Astyanax mexicanus: one gene and its partner. The protein of the gene in region 1 interacts with the protein of each later gene in a pairwise test. Links are inferred from orthologs where the notes say so. Each region holds a gene or a part of one and is shown on either strand. Other genes may lie near its edges. The genes, in order: vbp1 and pfdn4.

Region 1 (12,139 bases):
TGGGCGAGAGTGGAAATTTCCTACTGCATGGTGGGTGCACCTCTCAGTGGAATTGAACCTTCGCATCACCTCTGCTTTGCTTTGTACACATACCTTGTACCTTTTAGCCTTTGTGGAGAGTGTGAACTTGGCTGAAGACCCAAATAAACCTAAACAAAAGCCAAATCTTACCCTAATCCTAAACCTAAACCTAAACCTTAACCTCAATCTTAACCCAAACCTAAACCTCCTTAACAAAGAATAAACCTGATGTCACACACTTGGCGTCACACACTACACACTTCTCACACCCACCCACCCGCCCAGACCCACACCCAGCCGTGTGTGAGCAGAGTGTGTTCCAGTGTTTTCTCAGACAGATTTGGGTGAGAATGACTCATGAGGAGCTGTGCCAAAGATGGACTCAAACCTCACACACCTCATATAACGTATCGATACACTGATCAGTATGAGGATTTGAGGATACGTAAATCCCAACTGTGGATTCATTAGGTAGTCTATAATAAAGTAAAAATGACGTCATGCTCTACATATATAGCCACACAGATCACTGCTGCCACGTCAAACTAATCAGGACGCGCGTCTTCAATAAACTATCGATCAACTGCACCAGGTGGTTGATAGACAGTAATCAGCCATCAAAATCAGTTCTCGAGACAACCTTTCACACAGTGAATGCTGTATAGAGCCCCTATAGACCCCCTCAGCTGTACTCACCGAATTGCGCGTGCTCAGAGGCCACTGGAGCCATCGCTGTCCGCGGTGCTGAAACGATGCTCCCGCTGATCTGCGCACTTCTCTCCTCCGGAGGCTCGAGACTCGGAGCGAAGTGTGTGTGTGAACGCCGCGTGTACCGGATTAAAAATTTTACGCGCGCGTGCTCGTTTGTTTTTCAGGGAACAGCTGGACCGCGCTGCTCTTCCTCCTGCTGTTCCTCCTGTTCTTCCTCCTCCTTACTGGTGGATCAGCACCGCCCTGTGCTGCTGCTGCTGCTCTCTCTCCGCTATATGACCGAGAAACAGCGCCACCTCTCTTTCTCTCTGTGCCTCTCTCTCTCTCTCTCTCTCTCTCTCTCCTGCTCTCTGTGCCTCTCTCTTTCTCACTTTCACCCTCTCTCTATTTTTGTGCCTCTCTCCCTCTTCGCTCTCTCTCTGCCTACTCTCTGTGCCTCTCTCTCTTTCTCTCTCCCCTACTCTCTGTGCCTCTTTCTCTCTCTCTCTCTCTCTCTCTCTCTCTCTCTCTCTTTCTCTCTCTCCCTCTCTCTCTTTTTCTCTTTTTTTATCTCTCTCTCTCTCTCTCTCTCTCCCTCTCTCTCTTTTTCTCTTTTTTTATCTCTCTGTGCCTCTCTGTCTCTCTCCCTCTTTTCTCTCTCTCTCTTTCTCACTTCCCCCTCTATCTATTTCTCTGTCTCTTTATTTCTCTCTCTCTCTCTCTCTCTCTCTCTCTCTCTCTCTCTCTCTCTCAGTGTCTCTGACGCAGGTGTGACGTTCGCTGGGGCAATCATTCTGATTGCTGAAGGTTTGGCCTCTTGGTGTGTGTGTGTGTGTGTGTGTGTGTGTGTGTGTGTGTGTATGAAAGGTAAAGCTGTTTCAGGTAATACAAGTGATACAAGGTACAACATACAATTCAAGTACCTTAAATTTAGCAATAATATAAAAGCAACAATAATTCAAGTGCCAGTTATACTGTATGACAACTTTACAGAAGGATTTGGAAAATATAAAAATAATGACGCTTCAAATGTTAAAATGCATCACAATATAGCACCTTAATACAGGTGTGGGCATTCCTGAGCCCTGTCAGTGTCAGTGTATGTTTGTGTCTATTTCTGTTGGTTCAGTCATCAGGAAATGCTGTAAACAGGACAGCTGTTATGTTCAAATGATTCATATTTGTAACACCTACCCCCAACAACATGTACAGTCATGAGACAGAATTAGCACGAGCCTTTTTTCCTTTTTAACATATTTTTATATATATATCGATTTTACTTTCATTTAACAGTGTTAAGGCATGGATACATACAACTGAATACATGATTTTAAAACTATTTGTACATTATAAATTAGACTTTAAGGAGTATTTAAAACAATAATGTTCCTTGAAGAAAGCTGGGAAGGGATTTCCCTAGTTTCTCCCTCTACAGTGCAACAATACTGCATCATACAAGTCACTCAGGTTTTTGCTTTGGAGTGAGCAATGATGCTGATTAGATCATGAGCTTTTTATACCCACATCTGGATACCTTGACCCTGGTGTTATATAGTGCATACAGTCCTTATATAGCCCTTCTGCCTCCATGCATGTGAGAAAAGAAAAATAACATAGTAAGTAAATATTCAGCTAAATGTTGGTTAAATGTCAGTTGAGGCATCTCTAATGGACCATCCAAATAAAGTCATACTGGTCTTTCTCTATAAGACATAATAAAACACAATTAACTGTTTATTTGTCCATTTCCATTCATTATTCATTTAATTAATCTAACTTAGAACAACTTTGGAGTCCTTTATAAATGTTTACTGACATCATTAATAGCTGTATAATATTATGTAAAGTCTCAGATCTTTCCACATTATTGTAGCCTGTATGCAAGATCAGCTGTTTTTCATAGTCAGATTTATTTTTAGAGATATTATATACAGATAAATGGTCCTAATATTATCCAATAAACAATTCTCACAGCCTCAGAAGGAACCATGTCTAGTCATTATGACTGTGCTGACCATATGTGCTAAACAAACACTTATAAATAACGAATAACAATAAAAGAACAAACATATACACACACATACTGGCACAGTCATGTAGCTGTAAAAATTTGCTAACAGTCTTCATATAGTCACGCCCTGCTCTGTTTCCCTGTGTTTTCTGCGTTTCCCCAGTTATTTTCCCTCACGTGTCTGTAAATTGTAGCTCCGCCCCTCGTTACCTGTCGCCCCAGGAGTTCATTGTTTCCTATTAGTATAAATAGTACCCTTTTGTCTATGTTTGGTCTTCGGTCTTTGCACCTTCCTCTGTCGTTTGTCTTGCCACGTTTATAGTAGTTTTTCCACGCTCCATAGTTCTTTGTTTATCAGTTATTCTCTGTTTATTCCGTGTTTCTATCTCTAGTTTGTTTCCTTGTTTATTTCTTGTATATATTTACGTTTATTTCCTTGCATATATCCCCAGCCCTGTTTAGTTATTATCTGTCTAGTTTAGTTCTTGGTTATTTTCCCTGTTTGTTTATGTATTTATATTTCCTCGTTTACTCCTTATTTGTTTCTTTGTTTATGTTATTTAATAAATCCTGTCTTACTCGCTTTTACGTCCGCCTCCCGTCTGCTCCACCATTACACATATATCACACACCATCAATACACATTTGTCACTGTCCAATGAAAAACACTCCAAAATCTCCAAAACAGCAACCTTACAGAAGAGAGAAAAAACCTTGTAAATGTTCAAAGAAAGTTAATGTAAAAAGAGTTTATTTCAGGTCATTATGAGGAGTTTCTATTGGTCTGTTCATTAAGAAATTTTGGGACAGTGTAAGGGATAGTTTGTCTGTTCAAATTATGTAGTAAACTAAAAATAGACAAAATAGAGATTAGTGTTTTTCATAGGACAGTGACGCTGTATATCTTATAGAATGTCTAAATGCCCTCCAACACCTAATATAACCCAGAGGGTTCTTCAAGAGGGATGAATCTTCATGCTATAGCTCAGCTGGCCTCATTTTCCTCAAGGTCAGCTGGATCAGGGTTTTAAGAGTCCTACTTTATGGTGATCTATAGATGCACAGCTACGGTTCAGAGAACACTGTGTCTCTAATTGCTGTGTTCCTGTAGCTTTATTTCACATTTGGGATTATGAAATGGAGCTGTAAAAGGGAGATGCCAAGAACACTGGATCAATACATTCAGTGCGGTTTCATTTTTTTCTGTCATTTAAGAAGGATTTAAACTGTGCAACAAGGCCATGTTATTGCAACAGCAATGAACTCTTATTAACCATTTCATTTGTGAATGGTATAAAGTGATTAAATGCATTGCTTTGCTGATGACACCCAGCTATACCTCTCATTCTCACCTGAAGATCACTCAATCTCTGCACGGATATTGCAGTGTCTCTCAGACATATCCTCATGAAGGAGCATCACCGTCAACTAAATCTCTCAAAGAGTGAACTTCTGGTTATACCAACAAAACCATCTTTTCAACACAACTTCTCTATAAGCATCGACTCTCTCTCTCTCTCACCGACAAAGGTTGCTAGGAACCTGGGTGTTATGGTTGATGACCAGCTCTCCTTCACGCACCATGTGGCCTCAGTTGCTCGATCCTGCCGCTTCGCGCTTTATAACATCTGAAAAATTCGACAGTTTCTGACGCAACAGCCCACCCAACTCCTGGTACAAGCAGTCGTCATCTCACGCCTCGACTACTGCAATGCCCTGCTAACTGGCCTCCCGGCCTGCGTAGTAAAACCACTCCAAATGATCCAGAATGCAGCAGCACGTCTGGTCTTCAACCAGCCAAAACGGGCACATGTCACCCCATTGCTCATTGAGCTCCATTGGCTACCAGTTAATGCATCAAATTCAAAGCTCTTACAGTCGCCAACAAGGTGATGACAGAACAGCTCCTTCCTACCTGCACTCACTCCTGAAGGCTTACACTACCTCCCAGCCGCTGCGCTCCTCCAATGAACGTCGCCTCACTTTACCAAACAAACATTCACACAAAGCAATCCAGACTGTTCTCATACAGAGTTCCCCTATGGTGGAACAAACTACCTTCCACTACCAGATCAGGAGAATCTCTCACTATCTTTAATAAACTCCTGAAGACAGAGCTCTTCAGGGAGCACTTACTCTCCTAACACCTCTAACACACTAACTACTTCTAACCTCATTTCCTTCTTCCCCTCCTTCACTCCTCTATCCCATTATTTCCCTTTGACCTCCTTTAGACCCTATCTAAAGATGTTTTTACCTTTAACTTATTACTTTTGTACTTCACTATTGTAAGTCTGCCAAATGTAATGTAATGTAAAATGATGTTTAGTTACATCGTTGAGCAACATCAAACTCACAACCAGAAAGAATCAAGACTTAAAAGAGCAGAAAATCAGACAGCAAAACAACAACATTAAATGCAACTGTATAACTAATGGATATACAGCAATGAAATATTAAGTCCATATGTGTGAGCATAACACTACATACATGTACAAAACCAGATATTAATATTAGAAGCTTTATTACAGGAAAATAATTATAGATATATGTTTGGAACATTAATATGATGAATATGTAAATAGCTCAGTATGAATAGTCATGACTGTAATGTTAGTACACAAGGATCATTGGTCCTCATTCACCAAAATCATCTTTCATTCTTGAGAAATGAATGCTGCATTTCTATTTGCTCAATGCCTCAGTTAATCCTTTTTCCATATTTCTCCACTCTGTAGCTGTTGATGTATAAGGGGATTCATGTGGGAATATACACTGACAGGTTTGAGTATAAATTTAGCTTTTATCCAGAAATAGCATCAGAACTGAGAACTAAAGATCCTACAGCAGAAACTGGTGCTCTATAAGCTGCAGCTCTGAGTTTAACAGCAGTAGCACTGATTTAGTCCTCGTCTGAAGTCTCATTTATACTCTTCCACTGACACACATTTCACATCTCCTGCGGTAACGTTCACACCCTAATCTGCTGTATCACCATGACAGCCCAGCGGCCCAGCAGAGCACAGCAGCAGCCCAGAGACACGTCACTAATAGAGACACAGTTCTCAGTACTAAAGAGCCTCACACTGAAGATTAACATTGCATAGAGAGAGAGAGAGAGTCAGAGACAGAGAGAGAGAGAGAGAGAGAGAGAGAGAGAGAGAGAGCATTAGAAAACAGGTGAATAAAAAGGAGACACACTGCCCAAAGTACACTGCTAAAAGTATGGATTGGATTTATATAAAATTTACATTTTCTGAGACACTGAGTTTGGGTTTTTTATTGGCTATAACCCATAATCATAATGCAATTTACTGAATGAAATGAATTACCGAAATAAAGTAACTTTTCAATTATATTCTTTTTTAGATGCACCTGCTCTGGGAAAAAAAAATAATAAAATCAAATAATAATAATGAGTTTCTTTGATTTTACCAAATTGAAAACCTCTAGAATATAATCAAGAAGAAGATGGATGATCACAAGCCATCAAACCAAGCTGCACCAGGAGTGGCATAAAGTTATCCAAAAGCAGTGTGTAAGACTGGTGGAGGAGAACATGCCAATGCATGAAAACTGTGATTAAAAACCAGCGTTATTCCACCAAATATTGATTTCTGAAACTTTTTATGAATATAAACTTGTTTTCTTTGCATTATTTGAGGTCTGAATGCTTTGCATATTTTTTGTTATTTCAGTCATGTATCATTTTCTGCAAATTTCCCGCTCCAAATGACAGTATTTTTTTTTTTATTTGGGAGAAATGTTGTCAGTAGTTTATAGAATAAAACAACAATGTTCATTTTACTCAAACATATACCTATAAATAGCAAAATCAAAAAAATGATTCAAAAACTGAAGTGGTCTCAATTTTTTCAGAGCTGTATATCTGTATCGGGTGCTTGAAGGCTTGTCCCAATTACACTCGAAAACAAGGGGTAGGGTAAAAAAGATAAATGGGATTGGGCCTTAGTGAGGGAGTGAGGGATTTTGGATAAATGATGCCACCTGCCGGTGGATCTGTGAACTGCTCCAACACACAAAACCCCGCTCTGTATCTGTACAATATGTAACCATATGAACAGTTTAAAATAAAATATCTGAGAATGTACCGCTAATAAAGCTCAGATTCAGAGCTTTAACTAAGCAGAAGCCTTTGATTATCAGCGTTAAACCCTCCGGGACGCTGCTGCAGCTTTATAAAGGCCGGGCGGCTGGCCGGAGAAACGCCCAACGTCACCTAAAGAGGAAGGGCTACGGGTCTTTCCAAAATGGCGACGACCATAGAGAGCAGCAATGCTGGAGCTGCGAGCAAGAAAAAACACCTCGGGATCCCCGAAGCGATCTTCGTGGTGAGTGAGCCGCGGACAGGGAGGTGTAAGAGGGCTCGGAGATGTTTTATAAGCCGGTTTGGAAGCTGTTTATCGGGGTTAAAGCCGTTAGCGAGCCCGCTGAGTTAGCGCGGTGCTGCAGCCTGGCCGTTTCCTTTTAAGGCTGTGGCCCAGGCTAATGCTGCTTTAAGAACAAATGGAGGCTAAAAATGAGATTTTCTGTGTTACAAAATCAGCAGTCTATATTTTTCTAGCAGCTACAGTGCATATAACTTAAGTTCATAACGGCTCTGATAGGTTTTCTCCTTATACTAGCCTTTTATTACTGTTCTGTAGTGGAGAGTTTTGTATGGCCCATTGACTGTAACGTTAATGATGAATAGTAGCATAGCTTGGTTAGCTGCTGCAGTAGTTTACTGACTACAGAGGCTGGATTTTATATCCAATATAATATTATAATTATTAATCTCCAAAATAATGATAGGTTGGTTATTTGGGTGTAGCACTATCAGCAAATAATGTAAATGTAAAGTCTAGTAAATATTGTAAAGCAAAATATTATTATTATTATTATTATTATTATTATTATTATTATTATTATTATTATCATATTAATATTAATAATAAGCCAATATAAACGTTTTTAATGAAAGACTTCTATAAAATCATTGTCTGAAGCACATAGATTTAATATTTTATATGTTACCATTAACATACAGTAACAGTCAATGTATATCAATGTGGACACCTCTTCTCGTTCAGTGTTTTCTTTCTTTTTATTATTATTTTTTAATAAATATATTTAGTTTAATCTCTAAAATAATGTTAGTTGATTGTTTGGGGTAGCACTACCAGCAAATAATATAAATATAAAGTCCAATAAATACTGAATAAATTCTCTTCTTCTTCTTCATCTTATTGTTGATTATCTGGAGAACATAGATTATATATCTTCATATGTTACAGTTACAGTTAACATATATTTCCATGGACACATGTTTTCTTCTTTGATTAATTAATTAATTTCTGGTAGAAAACCAGCAAATAATGTAAATGTAAAGTCCAGGAAATACTGTATAAAATAATTATATAAAAAAAAAAGGTTTATGTACTAGTACAACATCATATTTGCTAAATATATAGCTCGTAAGCATCATTCCTAATGGAATTTATACAGAATTTCACACTGGAAGATGCTTGTTATGACATATCTGCAAATGTATTATACTGTACAGAAAAAAATGCTGTAATCTTTATTTTTCAGTGTAACAGTAGTAAACATCACAAATGGAGAAGGTTTTTACAACCAAAAAGAAATGGAGAAGATTTACATCTGTCGATGTATATGTTTATTGTGCTTTATGTTGATGTATCATTAAACAATGGGCTAAAAGTGCTGCTGGTTTGTATCAGAGTACTGTTTACTGGAGTCATGACAAAGCAAGAACCAAGTCAGTTTGCCCCCTCATCCTTCTTTTTTTCAGGGACTTTTAGCCTCAGATAATTCTTTTCATTAACTGGACAAAATAGTATGTGCAAATATCACTTATTAAAGCACTTTTCATTATTGGGAAAGAAGCATAATGAACAAATCCAGTCTAAGCATATCATTTATAATTTTGCATGCCACTTTCATTATTGGGTTAATTTAATTATTGACCTGAGGTCCAGGTACATGACTGTCTCTTCTTTCTTTTAGGAGGATGTGGACTCCTTTATGAAGCAGCCCGGCAATGACACAGCAGATGCTGTACTAAGGAAGCTCGATGAACAGTATCAGAAATATAAATATATGGAGCTTAACCTGTCCCAGAAGAAACTCCGGTTTGTTTATTGTTATTATTATTATTATTATTATTATTGTGAGGTATGGCTGCTTTATTTTGTGTTTTTTTGTGGTTCTAATTATCTTATTAATTGTCCTTTACAAATAATGTTCTTTACAAGTAATGGTTAACCATTAGCCGGTTTTGTTCTAAAAGAATACAATGCTTTTGTTGACAGTTGAGTGTTCATTCCCTTGCAGTGGCACAGTGTTTCTTATCCTAAAGTCCCAAGTGAGCACAATTGGCCTTGCTCTCTGCATATATTTTTATATTAGTGATACCCAGTGGCATTTACCTTTTATTGGACGCTTTCTTCAGAGGAGATAAACTTTTTATCAATTAAAATTGCCTGACCTCCACAAATGCTGCCACTGTCACATATGCTACTTTGACTGCCTGTCATGGTTGGAATGCATTTAATGTAATGGTTCATCAGGACCTCAAATATGGTGTCAGACATAATTTGCTGTGTCATTGTGCTCTATTTATGAAGTATTTTAACATATTTCCAGTCCTAGTCATAGTGTGTGATTGCTGAAATGGGCTTGAAATGAGCCAGTACAAATCCTAGCGGTCCAGAAGTTGTGAAATGTGGAATTTTGCCTTGTTTAGGTTGAAAAGCCAGATTCCACAAATCAAGCAGACGTTAGAAATCTTACGGCACATGCAGAAGAAAAAGGTAAGCAATACTGTTAACTGTAGTAATAAAAATCAGCTTCTGTCTTTCTGCTCTCCTTTTTTCAGTCTACTCATTCAGTAATGTCTCCTTGTCTTGGTACAGGACACTACAGATCCAATGGCGACTCACTTCCTTTTGGCTGATAACGTGTACTGCAAGGCCTCCGTCCCTCCCACAGATAAAGTGTGTTTGTGGCTTGGGGTAAGTATTCAGCTCACACCTGAGGAGCAATGCTGGCTCAAAGGAGAACTTTAATTGACTTTTGGTGTAGTAAAACATGCTTAAAAGTTATACCTTTGTTAAACAGCCCACCACCACTCTCCTGCAGCTTTCTGAGGCCCAGTTATTTTGTGCTTTTTGCCAGGCACTCTGTACAACCGTGTCAGGGCATATTTTGCCCCAATAAATCGCTTTTTACACCGTTATCCAGGCTCAAAGTAGCTTCACATTTCTTTGGTAGAATCTGGAGAGCCCAGACATTTAAATCGAGGCATTAGTAACTTAAAAAGTACTATAGAATCTTAAAAAACACTCTTTGCTCACATTTGTCCACAATTTTAGGATTAAAAAAAAAACAGAACTTTAAAAACTAGGAAAAAACACAGTCTAAAATTTTCCATTTTCTGTGGCAAATGTGTGACCAGTAAGCTACTAAAAAGGAGTCTTCATAGAAAAGGCCCACTGTGGGTTTTGGGATGCAGCTTATACTGTATTTTCATACAATATACAATTTTCATTGCATGTTCTTATATGATCGCTTTCTGAAAAAGGCAAACGTAATGTTGGAGTATGACATAGACGAAGCCCAGTCACTCCTGGAGAAGAACCTCGCCACAGCCTCCCGAAACCTGGAGTCCCTAGAAGAGGACCTGGATTTCCTCCGAGACCAGTTCACAACCACTGAAGTCAGTATCCTTTCTCTAAAGTGGAGATGCCCCAGTTTTGTAATGTACACTGTACGTCTGGGTAAGTTACCTAGGAGCAGAGTAAAATTCCTAATAAGAAAATATATTATATTAGATTAGGTTAGATGTAGCTTCTTTGTAAAATTTTATTACATATATAAAGTGTTTAAAGTCACCGTGGCAAGTGATGGTCTGATTAATTAGCAGTGGCTGTGTGAACTACATAACATATTATATGACCTGGAAATGGAGACTAAACTTTGGTTATTGTAATGATTTATGGCGATCATCTTCTCTATGCTGCTTTTAAGTAGCTTGTAGTTTGTGTATCTGTTTAACAGTTCGGTTGTCATAGGAGCATATTACTGTATTTAAGCCACTGAATTGTTATAATGTGTTGTGTAGTCTTAGTGCTGACTTCATCACAGTACTGTAGAGCCCAATTGAGACTTTATAGATGACACCATTACTGTGTTCTAGATTTCAGTCTAGTTTCAGGTATTTCCAGTCTTAGAAATTGGTCTCTTCAGTTTTTTATCAAGTTTTTTAGCCACAGTTTAAAACCTCAGACAAGAGCAAAATAAACAAAAGGAGACTAGACAGTTGGCTTGGTTCTGTTGTCTAAACCAGTATTTATTAATCCTGCTCCTGGCAACCCTTGGTTAAACCCACTGGTTAAAATTGGCCAAGTCATTACACTTGATCCAGGTGTTTTGTGTACAGGATTACTAAAACTACTGCTGTTTTAATGGGTCTGAATGCTTCCTATTATTTCCATTTAAGTAAAACTGAAATGAACAGCTTCAATAAAAATAAATAACTAAATGTATTATTTTTTATTTTTATACATTTTTTCTTTCTTCTCTTTTAAAAAAAAAAAAAAGACAAAAAAAAAAACACACTGCCTGACTGATATGCTGATTATCAGCTCACTAAAGCCCCACACTGCAATTTAATTTTAGTCTGACAAACTTCAGATCCATTTGACTAAAATGTAAATGGGATCAGGATACAGTTCATATACAAGTCATTTGAAGTAACCAGTTGTAAACCGGGTGTTTGTGAACAGTGAACAGGTCATATTAGTTGTTAATTTGCAAGTAAGTTCACCTAGTATTTCAGTTATGCAAGCTTTTAGAATAGGCTTGTTAATTAGCAGGTCTTTAGCAAAGTGCTTATTGTTACAAAGCTTTTTAAAAACTCACCCCATTTCTTGTAGGATAGGATAAATTAAAACAAACTGTGTGAACAGCATTCCTTAACAGTGTTCCCTTCAGATATGGCGCGTGTCTACAACTGGGACGTCAAGAGGAGGAGCAAAGACAACCTCCTCAAATCTGCTGAAAAGTCTTAGAGGAGGGGCATTGCTTTTCCATCCCCGACCACACCCCAAAACTCTCACCCCTGATAGTACCAACTGCCCCATGTGTCCACCTACTTCCACACTGTTATCTATTGATTTGTTACTTTTTAAAATATTTTTTCAAGTAAAAAGGAAAAAAGAAATCAAACAGAAGTGACGGCAGCAGTTTCTTTTCTATGATTTTTATTATAATCAAAAGTTTGTGTTTCACTTATTGACTGATGATGATGACACTGAGTGCTTGCTAAGCTGTTTACTGTCTGCGGCAGGCTTGTACTAATTAGTGAATATCCTGAATGTGCCAGGAGCTTGG
Region 2 (12,128 bases), on another chromosome or scaffold:
ACTATAATAAACCACTACAGCTTATAGTACTGTATTTATACTATACTATACTATAATAAACCACTACAGCCTATAGTACTGTATTTATACTATACTATACTATAATAAACCACTACAGTCTATAGTACTGTATTTATACTATACTATACTATAATAAACCACTACAGCTTATAGTACTGTATTTATACTATACTATACTATAATAAACCACTACAGCCTATAGTACTGTATTTATACTATACTATACTATAATAAACCACTACAGCTTATAGTACTGTATTTATACTATACTATACTATACTATAATAAACCACTACAGCCTATAGTACTGTATTTATACTATACTATAATAAACCACTAGTCTATAGTACTGTATTTATACTATACTATAATAAACCACTACAGCCTATAGTACTGTATTTATACTATACTATAATAAACCACTACAGTCTATAGTACTGTATTTATACTATACTATAATAAACCACTACAGTCTATAGTACTGTATTTATACTATACTATAATAAACCACTACAGTCTATAGTACTGTATTTATACTATACTATAATAAACCACTACAGCCTATAGTACTGTATTTACACTATAGAACAGAATATCATTCAGACAGTGCAAGATTTGTACTGTTTAAGCCTTTTATTTAAATAGCAGTGAAGGCCTCTCATCTGTTTTGTTTTCCAGTGCTCCTGCCCCGAACTTTCCCTTTAACTGATACATCTACTTCCTCATTTCCAATACTACTGAAACATAACGGCATGTAAAAAACAGAAAGAATCATCAGTGCTGCAAAACGAGGGATCAGGTCTGCTTGTGAGCTCCATGCAGGAAACAGGGGGTTTTAGTTGATGGATGGCGTCAGTTTGTAAAATAAAGTCCGTTCACTGAAGAACTCAGCTCTCATCCGCCTCCAGGTTAATGTTGTTCCCGAACTTCGCGTACAATTGGACTTTAAGATCCCCGAGGACTCCCTGTATCGATGACACGCGACCCTCCAGAGCTTTGATTTCATCCTTGAGAGCTTCCTGTGGAGAACATTTCAGCAAAAAAGTGTTTTTTTAATTTTTGACAAAAATATGTATATATATATATAATTATACAACATTAGCACAAAATATTAAAATATGTCTAGTTACAGTACAGTTATGAATGTTGGTTAGAAGCATTATTAAGTATAATTTCATAAGCAGCACACCTGATTTTATTTCACAAAGGATTGATTGATTGATTTTCTGGTCTATTTTCATACATAAGGAGCATTAAGCACCTTAAAAATGTAAATTCTTAATAGAAAAATCTTTTAAAGTCAAAAAACGAGCACTGAACGTTAATCTACGCAGATTTCTCTCCTGAAAACTGTTCATTTGGATGTTTAAAGCGCTTCTATTTATTTACAGTAAGCTTAGATATCCAATATTTTGCCTAAGGGTGAGTTTTCAGTGAAGTTTCTTCAGCAGCATTAGCCGCTAACCGCAGCAATAACTCGAAAGTAAATGCCTCACAACAGCAACAGACTGAGGAACCTGGAGTGTTCCGGTAAACCAGTGCGCTTGCTATCAGCTAGCGGTTCGTGCCACATAGCTTGTTTTAATACAGCAAACACACAGATTACAGCTCTGTGGTTAGCAGCTAATGCTAATGCTGCTGCACCCAGCCTTAGTGCTGGAGAAACTTCACTAAAAACTCACCCTTATATTGCTGTACTTCAGCAGAGTGGCTTTACTGCTCCCTAAATGTCTGACTGTAGAATTCATACATAAGGTGCACCGGATTATAAGGTGCATTGTCTATTTTTGGGAAAATTAAAAACATTTAAGTGTGCCTTATAGTCTGAAAAATACGGTTCAATAAATACACTTAATAAAAACAATGATAAACAGTTCCTTAAGTAAATACCAGTGCTTTCTGCACAATAAAAGAAGTGAAATAAAAGAAAAATTGAAAATTAAAGAGAGAGAGGTGGGTAGATAGATAGTAAGTGGATAGATTGGTGGGTAAATTGATAGACTAATGGGGGGGGGGGCGTAGATTGTTATAATGTAGACAGGTAGAGATAGATGTGTAGGTAAAAAGATGGATGGATGAATGGAAAACAAATAACTGACTTTTATTTCTTAAAATTATTATATATTTTTTTATTTAGTTGAGTAGTTCTTACATCTCATAATCTGGATTATACCTGTAACTCTACCTCTTCGCTACTTTACACAACTGAGGCTCTTAAACATTTTATTAAGAGGCAAGAAATTCAAGTACCGGTAATTAACTCTTGATGAGTTCAGCACAGCTGTTAACTGAAAGCCTAAATTCCAGGTGACTCAACCTCATAAAGCTAAAGGTGTGCAAAGCTGTCATCTAAGCAAGAGGTGCTTCTTTGAATAATCTCAAATATAAAACACATTCTGGTTTGTTTAACACTTTTTTGTTTACTAAATAATTCCATATATTTTTTGTCATCATTTTGGATGACTTACGTATTAATCTACACTGTAAAACATAACATTTTGGCTGGTATTTTAGTTTCAATAATTATCTGTTCACCTTAGCAGCCTCTAGCATCTCTTGCGTCTCCTCTTGCGAGTGACTGATGAACACATCTCCAATCTGATACGGGATCAGCAGATCATCATCCTCACACATCATGAGGTCATCGCTCGCGTCCTCTAAGTTCTGGAGGGATTTCTGAGAGGAGGAAAGATAAAACATACCTATAACCAAAGTGATCAGTGTAGAGTATCTGGATTAAACAGTGACAGAATCATAAACTGATAATCTGGTGTTTATTGATAATTTTCCTACTTTTTTAGCTTCTATTTCATCTTTCAGCTCCGTCATCCGATTTGTGTTCCGAGCGAACTTGTTAATCTTCTGCTGGTCTTCAAAGGTAACGTTGACATCTTCAACTGCCTGCGAGAAGAGAGGAGAAGCTTAGTGACAAAACACACACCGACAGGAGAGAGTAGAGGAGATATCAGAGAATCTGCACTTAATCTAAATGTGAAGATATAACACAGAGTAGTGCTGGAGTCTCGCTGTATATCACAGTAGAGCTAAACAATTCATCGTTTTTTAATTGACTTTTCATTCGCAGGAGCTGCGATTTAAATTAGCCAATAGCACGTTTGTAGTCCTTAGAGTGCTGGGGATTGTAGTCTTTGGGCTTATAGTCGTTCCCATGCTCAGAGCCCTGGTTGGCGTGACAATGCCTCAATATTAATGTCTTATCATTTAGTTCTGTCTAATAATAAATAAAACCTGTGATATTTTGAGAAATGTGATTTGAAAAGAAAAAAAAAAATCAAGAATAATATATAATTATTCTATTATAATATATTATTCTACTATAATATATAATGCATTTTAACATATATATATATATATATATATATATATATATATATATATATATATATATATTTTTTTTTTTTTTTTTTTGTTCCTTGAAATTTAAAAGTAAAACTGACATTTGCATTTAGTAATCTGAGAAGAACCCTGAGAATATTTTACGTGGAAAGAAGTTATTATATTATATTTGACAGATATGTTAACCACTAATACATGTTTAAGGTTTAATGGACTGAAAATAATAGAAGTTGCAATATTCTGTGGAAAGATCGCTTTAATACATTTTGCCCAAATCGTGCACCCCTCTATTATGGTATTTGTATTATTTTATTCGCATGACACAAAAAAAAAAACACAATATATGAAGAAATTAGACTTTATTAATAGAAAAACAGCTAAAGAATTTAAACAACAGACCTTAAAAAGATATATATATATATATAGTCTAAAAAAATAAAGTAAAAAATACTCAAAATGTAAGTATTCGGAGATGATCTTACAGCACTTCATGCTTCCCTCTGCTGACAACTTTTGTGGAGACGCGGATTTCATTTTCCAGCAGGACTTGGCACACTGCCCACACTGCCCAAAGTACCAAATGGTCTTATAATATAATTTTCTAAATTTCTGAGGCACTAATTTTTGGGTTTTTATTAGCTGTAAGCCATAATAATAACAATACATCTAACCTTAAAATAAAATCTATTAAAAATAATTACGCGTTTTTAACTGAATTACTAAAAAAAAAATACAGTAACTTTTAATTTTTTTTTTTTTTTTATCGAAAAAAAGTAAATAAGGTGATGATAGTGTTTTTTAATAAGTTAATGAATTTGAGCTGTATGTTAGTATAATAATGGCTAGACTCGGGTGGACAGTTAGATTTGTAGGCTTGGTTCTGCTACACGCCCATCTAGCTAAGCTAACATAGTGTGAACATCCCCTGTGATTCGCAGATGAACCGAATTCAGGTTCTACTTATTCACACGGTCAATAAACTGATTATTATCTGATCAGATCTGGGCTTTATTCTGTAGAGCTGATCCAGCTCTCATATAAGTTACACACACACAGCGCTGCCGTTAGCTCTCTATACTATATAGCTCTATAATAGCTCCACATTAGCTATGCTAAGCTAACCAAGCTAACTCTCAGGCTCCCGGAAAAGTCCTGCCTGTATATCGGCGGATTTAAACCGTATATAAATAAGACTGAACTAAAATTAATCCTAAACCTAAACTAAACCGGTCTAAAGCCAGACCGCGACTCTTTAAACAGCAAATCAAGACAGACACACTTACCACAGTCTTCTTCGTGGTGGCTGCCATCTTGGAACGGAAGGGAATCGCTGTTCGGGCGCGTGAATGAATCGTTCATTTGAACCGACTCTTTCCAGTAAATGATTCAAATCGATCAGAATTTTTTTCAGAGATCTTTTTAGCGAATTTACGTTTTGCTAACATAAATAATAATGAATTATTATTTTATTTTACTATACATATCTTCTTGTAGTCAAATAAAGGGTCAATAATACAACTTATATTGGACTTTGAGGGGAATTTTCTTACCAACCGATTAATATTTTATTTTACTTGAATGAGGTAAAAATGCAGTAAAAAAAACCCTGCGGCAACACCTCCATCTAGTGGACAGGACTATAAGGCAGGGTCTTCAGGAAATACAGTATATATTTTAATAAAGTAAAACAAACAACAACAAAAAATAGTAGTTTTTAGTTAAATAAAAAATAATAATAATAAATAAAAATTAGTTTTATTTATTTATTTATTTTTGTATCTGCTTTTATTTATAATTTAGAATTTTGGGCGCAATTTTTTATTTTTAGGTTTTCAATATTACTGTCAGACAAATAAAAAAATATCCAAATAGTTACATACTCTGTGATTAATTATTCTAATTTAATCACATTCATCGTCAAACTATTTCAAACTGTACAACTTAATAAAAGAATCTGTAAATCCTGTATATCTCGTACAACAATATACCAATTTATTATAGCTGCACCTTTATTCATCTAAACAATACAAAATTATCATACGGTCACACATACCAGAGCTTAAAATGTAAAAAAATGAGACGTTAATATTTAAAAAAATATGTATATATTTTACCATATTTTCCTAAAATAAATAATTAGGTAAGTCCAAATAAAATAAAATGAATGTTAACTATTATTATTTTAGACAATAGAGTTATTGATTTTAGTAACAGCTATTCATTTTTTTATATATTCTGTCCTGGGGACTTTTACTATGAAATAAAAATGGCGACAACACTGCAATGCTATCGGCTAAACAAGCTATGCTAACAGTTTCCTGAGCTGTGGGTAACTACTAAATCATACACACACTGCTCTTAACTGTATGAAATTACGTTCATATAAACTTATAACAATAAATATCACTAATATTATATTTAATTATATTTTAAAACAATGTGTATGTATATAAAAAAGATATATCGAATTTTGAGAAGCTAAGACAATTAGCAATGGAGAAGTACATTCAAATTAATACAAAAAATAAAGTCAACATATTTAAACTATCAAATTAACTTACTTCCATGTAACAAGGCTTATAATAAAAAAGAGAAGTGATTACGAAAAAAAAACGTATATATTGTGACGAATAGGAACGACCAACAATTTTTAAAATAATAAATAATAAAGTCAACAAATTTGTACTATAAAAGCATGTAACTTGCATATAACAAGACCTTTTGACAAATAAAAAACAATTAAAGCTAAAATAGACTAAAAATACAATATATAACAATAAAAAATAGAACAAAGCAAAGTATTAAAAATATATATATAGTAAAATAGTGAAAAGTGTTCACTATTGTACAAAACAACAGCCATAGGCTACTGTAAAAACTATAGCAATGCATTACGTGTAGTGTATGTAAAATAAAGAGGGGGCCAAAAAGCAAATCATAAGTGAGTATTTATCAATGTGAGTATTTCTTTTATTTACACTTCTACTCTCTACAGTTAGAGTACAGTACAGTAACGTTACAGTACAATAGCTACAATTACAGTCTACAGTCAAAGAACAATTTATTTAGTTCTTATTATTAAAATATGGGGTAATATTATTGTCTGTAAATAAAGAAAAAGTGGTATAACAGAAGAAAGTACTGTTTATCGTTAATGTCTGTGCTCATATGCATGTAAAATCAGATATCTTGTTTATATGAAGAATTATTACAAGCTAATAATCTCTAAAACCAGTATAAGTACACATAGTGCATTCCTGAGGGCAAGGCGTGTGTTTTAATTAGATGGTTTTTTTTTTCTTTTTGTTTGAATATCTTCTTCGTCAGTGTCCCTTTAGTAAACACACACTTAGTAATCAGTCAACTTACTGCGCCCATATAGGCAAATATTGCCACAATGCTTGCACTTTATTTTGTGATAATTTAACTGTTGGTTTAGATTTATGCACGCATCATGCATATTTCTAATAAATGTATGTGAGGAAGTGTGTGAGCAAGACCTTCAGCATTCATATGACATTCAAATAACTATTTACAATAAGGGTCGCCATTAAAAGTACTTACGACAGCAATAAACATCGTTAAATGAGTAAAGGAGTAATCAGAACTATATGAAATCAAGTGGTCCACTTGGAGCAGTCCAATTTTCAAACACTGTAGAGCATTGCCCCTTCCCAGACGCCAAGCTCATGTGGGTTGCCAGGTTGAGGACACAGTGGCAAGTGATGCTGAGTCTTACTCTGCAAGCTGATCAGCAAATGTACATTGTACAATTGTTTGGAATGTTTTTATTGTGTGCCCATTATAAACAAACTTATGTGATTAATGTGGTTCAAGACAGCTGTCCTAGAGTTAATTTACCCTTCTCTAGCTCCGCCCCCTTGTTACCCAGTCCCAGGTGTTTTCCATCCATTTGTATTTATAGTCCCCCTCGTTCCTGTGTTCCTTGTCCATTGTTGAACGTCAGTCAGGTTATGTGTTAACATGCTATCTATGTCCCCTGTGTTGCTTTTTCTTTCAGTTTTTGGTTCTTTGTTTGTTTGTTTGTTAATGTTTTTTTTTTTCAATAAATCTTCTGCCAATCTCCACATCTCCTTCCTGCTCCCTACCTGACAAAGCTTATGCATGTTGCCAGATTGAGGACACAATTCCAAGCAATGCAGAGTATGAATGTGAGCACTCTAATGTTGAAATAATTAAATTTCCCCACCCTACTATGCTAGTAGTAGTTTTGATAAATGGACAGTGAACCTTAGCTGAAACTTAGCTGATAAGTGCTTACTTACTTCTGAGAAAATTAACCAGCTTGGCATCTTTTGGGTGTTCCTAGGCTCTAAACTGTCTCCATCTGTTGAAATCAGTACCAGTATTGACTCTCATTTACTCCATCTCTGGCCATAGAGCTTTTTAAAGATAAATGCAGATGCCTTTTAGGCTGCTTCTGTTAAAACATTTCCCTTGTTAGCTTCCACAGCTGGAGCGAACTGTTTGTCTGATATTGTGTTCCGTACCTGGCAAACCAGGGTGTGGAAATGGGATTAGTGCAATTGCAGAGATTACAGTAATGTACAGTAATGTGGATTTCTAATCACTAAATAAAGGGATAAAAACTGAACAAACTAAGTCAGTTAATTTATTGAGTAAAGTGTTGGTTTGGGAATATTGAGCTGGGTGGTTTGAGGCGTTCCATGCCTCGCATGTCTGAGAAATTCCTTTCACCGTGGCAGAGAGCGAGGGGTGACCACAGTGGAATTTCTCGTCCGCCTCCGCTGTGTACGTTTACAATGTGAGGCTGTAACTGTGGACGGCATGTATTAGCACATTATTAGCCTAACCCTGACCAGCGGCTGATCAGTCACAGGCGATTTAGGGACTGTTCAGGACTTTCTTTGCCTGCTTACTGTCACTCAGTTTACTGTTCTGTAAATCATTATTATTAATACAGCCTTTTTTAACTGTTAATTTAAAGCAATGAGTTTTTATTCTTCAGTAAATCACATTCCTTTATTAAAAAAAAAACTGAGCCAAAGGAATTTGCCAAAGGAATGTATGAGGGAGTGGTCAGTGCTTTCAAATTTACAGTGCAGATCTACCATAAATTAAAATATTGTTTTTACAAAAAAAAAAGATTTTTCCTCAGTAAATGTTCTTTAAAAATCAAATTCAAAATATTCTAAGGATGCTTCAAATATTTGGCAGTTGAACAATTAAGTAAAAAGACCAGATAATCTGTGCCAAACAACGACTTATTAGGATTTTTAAGCAGTGGTGGCACACTTATGACTGACATAAAACTGACAAACGGCAGGTTTAAGTTCATTTTTACGCTTGCATAAATTAATCACTTATCAAGTGTAGAATGAGTTTTCTTGCTACCTTTTCACAAACGGGCTCTTTTCATGATGAGAAATACGAGCTGTACAAAAAAAACTTGAAAAAATATATACTTCAGTTGTTGGAAAAATATATTTATAAAATTAAAAAAATAATAATAGATTTCACATACAAAGAAATACTTGCCCATATATTTATTAAGGGCTGTTAATAAAAATGATGATAAAAAACGAACTAAATAATTGCACAATGCACATTGCACATATTAAATATCAAAACCAGTTAAAAACCTGCTAATGATTTACTAAAACCCGCTAATACAGCAAAAGGCTCTGTAAAAAAGAATTAATCATGGCAGGAAATTTCAGACAAAATTACATAATTTACATAAAAATAAGTTTCCAGATTAACTGCACTAGTTTCACTTTAAAAAATAATAGTGTACCTTAGTTTTTTCCTCAAAAATAACATTGGTTATAACATTAGTTTTTCATCCAAATGAACATTGTACATCAGTTTTTAACTCGAGAAGAACATTGTACATCATTTTTGACCTCAAAAAGGCCATTCACAAATGTAAAATCAGTGTAATTCTTCTTTAATAATTTCCCCTACAGCAGTAGCATACTGAAAATTGGGGGCAAAACCAACAACAGAACTTAAATACAGTAGAATATAATATAAGGTATGAGCAGTTGGTAGGCATTTCCCTGAGTCATCGGTGAGTTTTCAGCTGCTAGCGTAGCGTAGAGTCAGTGAGGAACTTACAGCCAGTTCCTCATTCTCGTGAACTTTCTCCTGGTGTTGTGGGTAAGTTCTGGTTTTGCAGAATACAGATTCTGATTTAAAGAACTCGCATCCTAAAAACAACAACCAACAATAATCTTCCATGCTTGTTAATCTTTGCATTAATCTAGGTCAATGTTTGTAGATAAAAAAGCATGTGTAATAGATCAGTGCTTCACATTAAGTTTCCCTTTAACCCAGAATAATAAATCAGAGCGCTATAGAAGAAAAGCTATGAATCAGTTCAGGCTGATAGCTGGACATATCAATGAGAACACGTTAGAGGTGCAGAGGTGATCTAGAGTCATGTTCGGCCAATTCATTAGGAATACCGCGTGGCTTCAACACGAGCCTTCAAATATTATTGGAAGGTCTGTTATCTTGTTTTTCTGTCATTGAGGTCACTGCTGCTGCTTTTCTGTTTGATGTAAAAGTCGCATTAATTCCGATTTAGACAAAGTTGCATTGCCTTCAATCAAATATGTATCAGATTTCATTACCACATATTGAAGTGGCTTAAATCTGAATAAAAAATTTGAGATTTAGTGTGTTTTTTGCTGTTTACACAGCCACGCAAACAAAAAACCTGTTTTTTTTTTCTAATGTGAAAGTTCTCTGTTAAACTTTTACTCAGCACATTAAAGAATATGATTTAGTGTCAAAATTATCATGAGCTGTATTGCTAAATACAAAAAAAAATCGAATTTATTTTTGGTAAAAAAAATTTGGGTCCCAAAATTTTTCGAATTTTTTTTGGGTCCCAAAATTTTTCGAATTTTTTTTTGGGTAAAAATTTTTTGGGTCCCAAAATTTTTCGAATTTTTTTTTTTGGGTCAAAATTTTTTGGGTCCCAAAATTTTTTAAATTTTTAATTTAAAAAAGAAACAGTCATTAAGTAACGTTCTTATTTTTTTCACATATGGACAGTAGTACTGAGGGACTAGACAGTATGTTTTGAATAAAAAAAAAAATACAATTTAGATTTCTTTATTTTAGTACAGAAAGTTCATTTAATTTTCTCTTAAACAAGTGTGAAAAACCAACAAAGCCTGACTCATGAACAAGCAGGTTGTCATATTAATGCAGAGTACAGTTTGTTTTCTATAAGGGTTGGAATTGCTCTCTTGGCAGATGACAGCTCTGTGTGTTGACTCAGACCGTGTGAACATCTCTCGAGTTCCTATATAAAGAGTGCAGAACCTGCTTCTGATTCAGTATGGCTGCTTTCCCAGTGCTGTACAGTAGATCAACATGTTATATTTATCTGTCTTTTGTCTAGTTTTAATGTTTCTGGTGACTTTATTGTGATTATCAACTCCAATCCTCCAAACTTGATCTTATATACCACTATTAAACACTGTAAACACTGTAGACAGTGTAAAGCACTGCCAGAAAAATGAGTGTCTTATTTGCTGTGGGTTTATGAACACAAACAATTTAATAAACAGCTTGAGTTACTGATTTTAGCAATCAATAATTGTTTACTAAATACATTTGCTATTGTGTGTGTTTTTAGTTAATAATGCATGAAAAAATAAAAGCAAAAAAAAATGGAAAAAAAAGGCTCTAAAGGTTAAAAATGTAGACATGGTATACGTTTCATACATGTTTAATAGTTTGTAGTATTGCTACACAATTGGCTACAAAATCTTACACCCTGTGCAAGGAGCGTTGTTGTGCTCATTGCTATCTTACACCCCCGCCAACAGTCTATTTTCACACCTTGCACCCTGACCGTTAAAGTAGTGTCAGAGTTTAGAAATATATCTACGTAGATGGGCGTGGTGTGTTCAGGTATATTTCTGGCATATTGTTATCTTGGGAGCAGAAAACACAGGTGCGCTGAAGAAGCGCAGAAGCATTGCACCTTTAAAATATCAATCGGCCAAAGTCAGACTGCACCTGGCTCTTAAAGTGAATGACAAGTGACACATTGATTTTTTTTTCATAGATTTTTTTGTATAGACTGCTATATATGCAAAAGTGAATCATCAAATTTTACAGTTTGCCCAATGCCAGATGTGGGCTACAGGGGTATAAAGACCCCTAGTATTGATGAGGTGAGGTTTTAATTATCCAAAATTCTGACCTCTCTATTATTACTGCTGCTGATGAATGCAAAAAATACCTCACAGCAGTAAGACATAACTGCTCTTCTCTGAGATATAACTGCATGCTAAATTTTGTTAATTTTTAATGATTTCTTGAATATACTTCAGATTTTGGTAATTATTATCCATAAAACAATAAGAGATGCCAAAAATGAAACAAAGAATATATCCTTTTGAATGCAAATAACAGCTAATCTGGGAGTGTAACCTGTATTGACAGACTTCACTTGCAGTGTAAACAGTGTTGTGTGTTTCTTCTCATCGTGTTCTCAAAACAGGTCTTCAGCTTTTGTGATCAAGGTGGGAATTAGACAATCATGTGACAAAACCATAACACATATATTGTATTGTTTCAGTGCATATGGGTCATTTACAAAAAATAAATCACTTATTAAATATTAAATATTTTTAACTTAGCAAGGCAAGCCTATTAACGAAGCCTATTAATGTATTAATGTAAGCTGATATTACAGAAACTTGCTTAAAAACACGGTCTGCCTGCCTCTGAATTTAGTTCTC

The links.
Region 2: the proteins of vbp1 (region 1) and pfdn4 interact in binary tests that used the Homo sapiens proteins (3 or more experiments, as listed by UniProt). The link is inferred for Astyanax mexicanus from reciprocal best matches to the Homo sapiens genes VBP1 and PFDN4.

The regions. Positions count from the first base shown.
Region 1 is NC_064415.1:17,235,635-17,247,773, reverse strand, and holds vbp1 (prefoldin subunit 3), read left to right. Parts: upstream 1-6,926; 5' UTR 6,927-6,993; coding exon 6,994-7,074; intron 7,075-8,752; coding exon 8,753-8,877; intron 8,878-9,491; coding exon 9,492-9,558; intron 9,559-9,660; coding exon 9,661-9,759; intron 9,760-10,328; coding exon 10,329-10,467; intron 10,468-11,740; coding exon 11,741-11,817; 3' UTR 11,818-11,979; downstream 11,980-12,139. Other genes in the region: syt4 (synaptotagmin-4), read right to left, coding at 718-751. UniProt on the Homo sapiens protein: Binds specifically to cytosolic chaperonin (c-CPN) and transfers target proteins to it. Binds to nascent polypeptide chain and promotes folding in an environment in which there are many competing pathways for nonnative proteins.
Region 2 is NC_064420.1:3,767,003-3,779,130, forward strand, and holds pfdn4 (prefoldin subunit 4), read right to left. Parts: upstream 4,765-12,128; 5' UTR 4,689-4,764; coding exon 4,662-4,688; intron 2,923-4,661; coding exon 2,815-2,922; intron 2,698-2,814; coding exon 2,557-2,697; intron 1,041-2,556; coding exon 909-1,040; 3' UTR 636-908; downstream 1-635. UniProt on the Homo sapiens protein: Binds specifically to cytosolic chaperonin (c-CPN) and transfers target proteins to it. Binds to nascent polypeptide chain and promotes folding in an environment in which there are many competing pathways for nonnative proteins.